Linked DNA regions of Coturnix japonica. The protein of the gene in region 1 interacts with the protein of each later gene in a pairwise test. Links are inferred from orthologs where the notes say so. Each region holds a gene or a part of one and is shown in the gene's direction. Other genes may lie near its edges.

Evidence for each region.
Region 2: the proteins of NUDT12 (region 1) and BLMH interact in binary tests that used the Homo sapiens proteins (3 or more experiments, as listed by UniProt). The two-hybrid records come from large-scale screens. The link is inferred for Coturnix japonica from reciprocal best matches to the Homo sapiens genes NUDT12 and BLMH.

The regions. Positions count from the first base shown.
Region 1 is NC_029547.1:44,272,009-44,276,503, forward strand, and holds the start of NUDT12 (peroxisomal NADH pyrophosphatase NUDT12), read left to right. Parts: upstream 1-1,585; 5' UTR 1,586-1,683; exon of another isoform or gene 1,684-1,775; intron 1,776-1,791; exon of another isoform or gene 1,792-1,883; intron 1,884-1,899; exon of another isoform or gene 1,900-2,207; 5' UTR 2,208-2,237; coding exon 2,238-2,443; intron 2,444-4,371; coding exon 4,372-4,495. UniProt on the Homo sapiens protein: mRNA decapping enzyme that specifically removes the nicotinamide adenine dinucleotide (NAD) cap from a subset of mRNAs by hydrolyzing the diphosphate linkage to produce nicotinamide mononucleotide (NMN) and 5' monophosphate mRNA.
Region 2 is NC_029534.1:5,007,225-5,011,747, reverse strand, and holds the start of BLMH (bleomycin hydrolase), read left to right. Parts: upstream 1-1,657; 5' UTR 1,658-1,781; coding exon 1,782-1,794; intron 1,795-2,116; coding exon 2,117-2,314; intron 2,315-2,841; coding exon 2,842-2,951; intron 2,952-3,597; coding exon 3,598-3,739; intron 3,740-4,523. Other genes in the region: TMIGD1 (transmembrane and immunoglobulin domain-containing protein 1), read left to right, coding at 127-230, 465-493, 668-671. UniProt on the Homo sapiens protein: The normal physiological role of BLM hydrolase is unknown, but it catalyzes the inactivation of the antitumor drug BLM (a glycopeptide) by hydrolyzing the carboxamide bond of its B-aminoalaninamide moiety thus protecting normal and malignant cells from BLM toxicity.

The DNA.
Region 1 (4,495 bases):
TATGTGCTGTTGTGAGTATGTCTCATGTTTCCTTAAAGCACCACAAGCAAAAGCAGTCTGGTCTGTATGGGTTTAAAGTGTTGATATATTCAAGAAACCTGACAATATGAATCTACCAGACTTGATAACTGGAAAGGCATGTAAAAAGAAAACAAAATATCTTCAAACAACCAAATTTTAAGTTGGTTTTGTTTTTTTTTTTTTCTTTATTCTCTGAAAGCTTATGTGTGGCATCAGGACTTCAAAATACCTGGTGTTGGACTAACATTTATCCACATTTTTTAAGCCAAGTACAAAGCTTGGTAACCACAGGTAGACAAACTGCAGTAGTCCCATCAGTGTTACCAGTGTGTCAGCAGCAAAACAGCTTGTGTAACAGCTGGTGAGTCTGGCCCAGCCCCTGATGGATGGTTTGCAGCGTACAGTTATTTTTGTTTCAATCACGTGGTTTAAAACTGACTAAAAAGAACAAGTGCATTCTTCTTGAGCTCCCAAACCCAATTTACTTCATAGTTTCTGTTCATGTATTTAAGTATTTACCATAAGTCCCTGCATCACCAGATGTTTCCTTTTGCAGATGTTAGGCATCAAAATGCCTACAGTCAGCTCATGTTCAGCAGTTCTGACTGCCCCTTTTCTCACTAATCATAGGCTGCATGCACTCTTCGCTCTTAGTCAGTGGTAATTTTCATGTTTTGATGCTTCTAGGAAGCAGTGCTTGTTAAATACATGCATTTTCCTAAGACTGGCAGTCACAATTTCCCTAAGCTTTTCACACATTAACAGCACACACTTGTGAAACTATCTTCCAGCTTTTATCACAGAATAGCTTAGGTTGGAAGGAACCTTAATGACCATCCAGTTCCAATTCCAACCCCATGCTGTGGGCAGTGCTGCCACCTTGCTAATAAAGCTGCCCATGATCCTACCCAACTTGGTTTTGAACATCTCCAGGAGCGGAGATGTGCCTGTGTCAGGACTTCACCACCATAGAATTATAGAAGAGCAGAATGGCTTGGGTTGAAAATGATTGCAATGATCATCTCGTTTCAAGCCCCCTGCTATATGCAGGGTCGCCAACCACTACACCCTATCACTATACAACTGTAAAGTCAGTTCTCCTCCTATTCATAAGCGGCTGCTTATGAAAAGGAGTACCGGAAAGCCACAGTTGGGGCTCCCTGGAGCTTCCTTTCCTCCAGGCTGAAGAAGCCATTAACCAAGGAGAAGTGCAGCCCTCTGACCAACTCTAGGGCTGTCTCTGGACCCACTCCCACGGCTGCACTCCTCGCTGCGGGCCCAAATACACAGCACTCCACGTGGGGCTTCACGAGAGCAGGGCAAAGGGGAACTGCCAGCACTCCAGCTCCCCTTTCAATTGCTATCTCCTGCTGTATCTCGTTTGTTCTACATCTCTTGCAATTAGTACTCTATCTTGTATTCTATCATTAATCCGGTTTATTACCTTGCAAAAGAAAGCAATTTTTATAGCTAAATAATTTGTCCGACAAAGAGTAACCAGGCAGAACTGCCAGGGATTGCTGCTACAGCCAGCACCCACTGCTAAGCGGCCTGACCGCTGGGCGCCCTCCCGACCCCGGGGCAGCGGAGCGGGGGGGGAGGCGGGCCGGCTTTGGGACGCGCCCCTTCCGCCGCGGAAGTGCGAACGGAACCAGGCTGACGGTAATGGGGCGACCGGCAGCTCGGCCCTACAGCGGGTGCGGGCCCGGGAGATAAACAGCGGGTCACGTACGATCCTCCCCCGCCTGAGGCTGGTCCGTAGCCTACGCCGGGACGAGCCTAGGGTTAAAACGGCTGCTACCTTGCATGCACAGCCAAAGCGCCCTAGTGACGCTGCTGCATGCCCTAAGTGCGGGCTGCGCGTGAGTGGAGCTGGGTCTGTGCCGGGGGCGGGCGGACTGACAGTGTCCTGCTGCCCTGTGAGGCCTCCAAGCAGCTGTGGGGACATTGGTGGAGTTAAATGGCCGACGCTGCGCCGCAGGTGTCTGCTTAGGGAAGGTCGGCCTAGAGAGAGCAGTGGTCTGGTCTTCTGGAGAGAGACCCCTGTTATGTGTGTCTTCCATTGTTCCCAGAGCTCTTGGGGTTTGTGTGTCAGGTTTTGTGTTTTTCCAAAGGGTTATCTGTGTCGTGTTAAAAGTTTACTTGGTTTACTGAAAATATTTTCCTAACAGTGAGTATATTTTTAGGTGTTCTTGTTTTCTAACTCAGTTGAGACAATGACCAGCTTTGAAAAGAACTTCCATCAGGAAATGATTTCTCAGCTGCATAATTTTGCTGCGGTTGGAGACACAGCCAGGCTGAAAGCATTGCTCAGCCGTTCCCCATCACTGATCAATGCGACTTCAGGTAATGGCTGGACAGCTCTGATGTACGCTGCAAGAAATGGACACTTTGATGTTGTACGGATACTTCTTGAAGGAGGGTAAGCTGTTGAGTAGGTCCTGTTGAAGAGCTAAGTCCCATTCTTCCCGTTTAAGTATGGCATCAGATAAGTACATTTACTTGCTAGAAAGCAGAAGAATTTTCAGGGTTAAAACTCATAAATTTGTGTTAGTTTATAAATGGACTGTGCTACTGCATCATGGTTTCCATACTTTCTAACAGCAGTTATTACAGTATGAGGATTTCTAAAGTTACTGCTTTGATCTTCAAAGACAGGGTCACTCACCCCAGAAACCAATACAGTACAATAAAATACAATGATACAACAACCCCATTACAAATACTGTTCTGAGTATGAATTTGATACATTTAATTGTTCCACTTAGGCTTTTTGTCTCAGGTTTAATTGTAATACACTTGAACCTGTGTTACTGCAGAACATTTGCAGGCACATTGGCCATTATTTTGGATGTGATAGACGTGCCTTTACCAAAGTCAGTTATTGCTGAATTTCATCCATTCATTTTTATTATTTTTCAGATGGTTCTTCTTTATTAAACTTTTTGGCATTTTTTTTTTGCTTGTCAGGAATGTATTTTAAATTATATTGTCTATTCTCAAGTCAACTCCTGTAGTTCTGGTGTTGGAAGTCACCAAGTAAAACGAATGCTTCAAAGGTCTTGAAACCTCAGGATTCTTCTAAAGGCTGAATAAAGCCAAGATTGACACATTTCAAATGAATACCATTACAAAATGAGAGCAAGAGCTCAGTTGAGCTTTACAAGTGGTGTCCCTCATGTTAGTATTGACGTCAGTGTTATTTAATGACTTTGTCAGTGACACATACAGTAGATTGAGCGCACCATCAGCAGGTTCACATCATGGATGATGGCAATCTGAGTGGCACAGTCCTTGCAAGCATTTAAGAACAAGCTGTATGGGGCCCTGAGCAGACAGATATAATGGGAGTTATCTCTGCCCAAGGCAGGAAGGCTTGGAATCTTATGATCTTTAAGGTCCCTTCCAACATAAATGTCTCAGTGATTTTGTGAAGACCACTCGGTTCCTTTCTGTATCCCTTGTTACACTGCCAAACTAGACTAGATTATTTTGTGGTTATAAGTAATTATCAAGCATGCTATTCTACTTCCTCCTGGATTTTCACATCGTTATTTTTAAGACCTACTAGGGTACTGTACCTTCTTCTGCTGGAGCTCACTGTGGAGTCTCAAGGGAGTCTTCTTATGTACCATAATTAGTGAATTCTAGCACATAGAGCAGCTTTGCTGTGCCACATATTGTAGATTGAAATCCTCTGTTTTTGAGGAGTCCTCTGAGATTTTGGAGAATCATAGAATAGGAGAATCAGAAGGTCATACAGTCACAAGGTTGGAAAGGACCTACCAGATCATCTAGTCCAACCGTCCTCCCATTACCTTTGCTACCACAAGCTACTAAACCATATGTTGTAACTCGTCATCCAGTCACCTCTTGAACACTCCCAGGGATGGCAACTCCCACCACCTCCCAGGGCAGCCATTTCAGTGTCTGACCATGCTCTGAGAGAAAAGGTTTTTCCTTACATCCTTACAACTAATCTAAACCTCCTCTGGTACAAATTGTTGCCATTTCCTCGGGTCCTGTTTGTCACCTGGGAGAAGAGGCCAAACCCTCCTCATCACAACCTCCCTTCAGGAAGTTGTGCAGTGAGGTCTCCCCTGAAGAAGTTGCCAGTTCAATAGAAGTTCTACGTTCTATTTAAAAAAAAAAAAAAAAAAAAAAGGAATGCAACTCTGATCATTTTCTAATACCATTAGTATGTAGCCCGAAGAATGCCCTTGATTCCGTGTTCTGAAAAGTTGATGCAGCTCAGTAGTATCAGATCTATCTGTTGTAACAACAGTACAGTATTGGAACTTTTCCTGAAAAATTCACTCTGTTAACTGTTGTTCTTTTCTGTTTCTGTAGGTGTGACAGGTCCATCATTAATAAATCAAGGCAGACAGCACTGGACATTGCTAAATTCTGGGGGTACAAGCACATTGCTAATTTGTTGTCTGCTGCAAAAGGAGACCAGAAGCCTGGTTTTCTG
Region 2 (4,523 bases), on another chromosome or scaffold:
CACAGCACCCTGGGGGGATCTGCTTCAGGAACCAGCATTTCAATTCCTCCTTCCACTCTCCAGCTCTGTGAAATGCCTTTACTATGTGACTGCACCAAACTATCAGCCTCCTCTCCCTCTTCACAGATAGAAAACCCGTTTTCCCCAAGGAGGCGATTATTGCTGCCGTTGTGGTGGTTGCCATCACTGTGCTTTTCGGAATCGTGGCTCAGAAAGACAAAATATTTAAGGTATGGAAAAACCCAGTTTCTTAGGTGAAACATAATGTTTCAATGGCCTTTTGTTTTCCACCTTTTCTATGCTGCTCTGTAGTGCTGTTTTTCAGTGTCTTTCATTGAGTACTATCATCTCCTGGTGAATTACTAGCAGTTAAATCGAATAGCAGGTATTTGAAGGGGAAAGAATAATACTTCTATGGGTAGAAAAATGCAAAAGGTAACAGGACTCTCTCTCTTTCTTTCCAGTGCTTCAAAAAACCAAGTGAAACAGCCCTGTAAGTATCTGAGTGCACAACCAGCTTCACAGTAAATGCCTGAATGAAACCCCTTCTTTAAGCTCTGAATGAAGCACCCACACACTGACATCCCCAGCAGCCCCAATGAACCCAATACTGCTGTTGACTTTCATTTTCCCTATAGATTGGTTATTTTTACCCCTTTTGCTGCAGGTAAAGACGGCACAGGAAACTTTGCACACCCAGCCAACACCATCTGAAGCGGTGGCAACACCTGTGTGAGATGAGGAGCTCAGGCACTGAAGCACAACCCCGGCCACAAGCTTCACAAGGCTCATAGAACACACAAGCATCGTTTCACAACTGATTGGAACTCACTGCTCAATACTCAGCTATAGGGCATAAGGATGACAGCTCACCTCATCCACAGCGCCTCAATGGTGTCGTGTGGGGAGCAGCACTGTGGTGAAGGGGGGAAGGGTTCCTCTTAAGATCGCACCTTGCCAATAAACGCACCTTGCTGTACGTTAATGAGGCCTACAGTGTGAGCAGTCTCTACTCGGCTCTTGTGAGGCCCCATCTGTTGTACCGTGTCCAGGTGTGGAGCCCTCAGTACAAGAAAGACATGGAGATTTGGGAAAGGGTCCAGAGGAGGGACAGGAAGATGATCAGGGGCTGGAGCACCTCCACTATGAGGACAGGCTGAGGGAGTTGGGTTTGTTCAGCCTGGAGAAGAGAAGGTTGCGGGGTGACCTCATTGCAGCCTTTCAATACCTGAAGGGAACCTGTAACCAGGAGGGGAGTAAACTCTTTGAAAGGACCACTAATAGCAGGACAAGGGAAAATGGTTTTAAGTTAAAAGAGGGAAGATTTAGGTTGGATGTCAGGGGGAAGTTCTTCACTAGGAGAGTGGTTAGGCCCTGGAACAGGCTGCACAGGGAGGTTGTGGATGCCCCGTCCTTGGAGGTGTTCAAGGCCAGGTTGGACGGGGCCATGGGCAGCTTGATCTAGTAAAGGTGTATGTTTGGTGGCCCTGCCAGGCAGGGGGTTGGAACTCCATGATCCTTGAGGTCCCTTCCAACCCGGGTCATTCTGTGATTCTGCGGAGCCTCACGTTCCCCGCGGGGTTGATCTCGCGCGATACGACGCGTTTTGTCCCTTCCCGCCCACCGTCACCCTCCCACCACCACTGCCGCCGCCGCCGCCGCCACCCTCAGAGCAGAGCGGTTCGGGCCCCACTTCCTGCTTCCGGTGCCGGGCTATAAGAGCCGCTTCCGGCGGGGCGAGCGGGGTTCGGCTGGTTTGTGGCGCTGCGCTTTACGGCACCATGAACGCCCATGGTGAGGGGCGGGTGTAACCGGGGGGGAGGGGGGCCTTATCTATGGTGGGGGGCCTTGCCTATGGGCGGGGGGGTCCTTGTCTGGGGGGGGCATTGCCTATGGGGGGGGCCTTTTCTGGGGGGGGGGGTTGTCTATAGGGGGGCGGCCTTGCCTATGGGGGGGGTGGGGCCTTGTCTATGGGGGGTGGGCTTACCCCTGGTGTTGGGCTTGAGGGTTGTTCTCCGTTATAAAAACCCGTGTGTGTTTATGGGCCCGGAGCCCCCCGCATCCCGGTATGGGATCCCCGGGTGCTTATGCTGCTTTATGTTCTTCCCCCCCGCAGGGCTCAGCACTGAAAAGGCCGCGGCCTTTACCCGGCGGCTGCGGGCTGAGCCGCAGTTCCTGCTGGCCCAGAACGTGGCGACCTGCAATGACCCGCTGGAGGTGTGTCTGCAGCGGCAGGTGGTGCAGGACACCATCCAGGTCTTCCAACATGCGGTGCCTGCTGAGGGCAAACCCGTCACCAACCAGAAGAACTCCGGTAAATGGGGGATTTGGGGGCGCCCTTTGGTGCTTTGGGGTGGGCAGTTACCTCCCTGCAGGTGTGGGAATCTCTACTGGAGCCCTTTTGGGGGTCTCATATCAAGAGGAGCTTTGTTCAGGGTCGTACCTTCCAGGTGAGCTGACTGCAGTACTCAGAATGGCTTCTGAGTTCAGAGAACAGCTGCATAAGGTTCCATATGAGATCTGACAAGGAATCCCTGCAGCATCCTTCAGGGGTGACGTCTGCCTTCTGAACTGCTTTTCCTTCTGTATAGAGCGAGATGGAAATAACTGAGAGACCTGTTTGCATGGTTCGTAGAAGCATAGAATCGTTACGGTTGGAAAAGACCACTAAAATCATTAAGTCCATCCCGGACTCCTGAACTCACTGGTTATTCAGTAACCTACAGTGCTGGGCAGGACACTGGTCCAAAAACTTAAGATGGAACACAGAATTCTTGTTCAAAGCCCTTATGTAGCTCTGAGTGCAATAATGCAGTTTAATCCTTGTGTCTTTGACCTCAGGGAGATGCTGGATCTTTTCCTGCCTCAATGCAATGCGTCTTCCCTTCATGAAGAAGTACAACATTGAAGAGTTTGAGTTCAGCCAGTCGTATCTCTTTTTCTGGGACAAGGTACAGTACTACAGGCCGCAGACTGTGCTAGGAATGCTTACACAACTGAGTCTTACCATTAGGACGGATTTCCTTTTAAATTGGGCTTTCTGAACAATCCAAATGGGAAATGTGCATGAGAAGGACCACCAGAAATTTTTAAATAGTTAAAATTGGGCAAAATGAGATTTTCAGCTTGAGGAGGAAGTCATCAAGATGTTAATGCTTTGGAGTGGTAAAAGTCTTTCAAGTGTTCTGAATATTTCAGAAGTTATTTGTGGTAGGCCCAGCAGGAAGCCTAACTGTAATTGCAGCTCTATGAAGCTCTTTCAGGACTGCTTGCAACCTACTGATTTGGGAGCTGTTTGCTTTTTTCCTGAAGGGAAATTGAGAAAACCTAGCACTTGTTTGTGCCAGGCTCCATTATATAACTTCTGTTTCACATTTCCTGTTTCCCCCGCCCTCGAGCTCTGTTAACTCACTTGTAAATACATTGTCTGGACCAGAAATAAACTTTTGGTTAAGCCTTGGAATAGTAAAAGGAAAATAAACATGTTAGTGGCTGAGCAGATGATTTCATCTAGTTAGGACTATCAAAGAACTGGAGTACATGGGAATGAGTTGATGTGTATATCGCACTGAGATTTGTCTTGTCTGTTCATTATAGGTCGAACGTTGTTACTACTTTCTAAATGCCTTTGTGGAAACAGCTCAGAAAAAGGAGCCCATAGATGGAAGGCTGGTGCAATACCTGCTCTTAAACCCCACAAACGATGGAGGCCAGTGGGATATGCTGGTTAATATTGTAGGTAAGGGAAATGGCTGCTGGGAGCGCTTCCCTCATTTCCACGCTGATTTGAGAGATGAGTGAAAGAAAGCAACTTTGGATCAATTCTGCAGTGTCTGATGCCATACTTGATATTACAGCATAGGATCTCCTAGGTCGTATAGGCACTATATGAAAACTTAAAATAGAGGCTTGCCTACACTTTTCACTGTAACCCATCCAAAACAGGAAGAACTTGTAGTACACCTTGATAATTGATGGATTGAAGATTTCTTATTCTGACAATCTACTGTAGTTACAAATTGAGTATGAGACCTGGAAGCTTGTTAAAAAGCACAACACTTAGCGACTGCCTTTTTCAATCAAGGATCTTATTTTTTTCTAAGTATTAGGCTTAAATCTCTTCTATGATGTTTATTTTTGCATATTGCTGCTGCTGATAGAAGCTCAAAATCAGCAGGAATCATTAGATACCCCAGAATGTCAATTCAATAGTAAGTTCCTGTCCTCTACTGTCCCAGCTCGAAGCTGTTGCCTTTGTATCCATGTATGCAGTCCTGATGTACAAGGTAAAGAAGAGTCTTTGTTAGACCAGGGTGTGTCTTCAAGGCAGAAGCAAAGCTGCTCTGAGTTGCAGCCTGAAGAAAGGCGATGTAAAGATTGGTGAGAGGGAAATTGTATGGAATGTGGCAGTGCTGGTCTGACAAAGGTGCAATTTAGGGAGCATCATCCTTAGCACTAATGAAGTAGATGTGGTGTCTGAATTAGACTAGCATTTGCTTTCATTTGTATGATGATGCAATTGA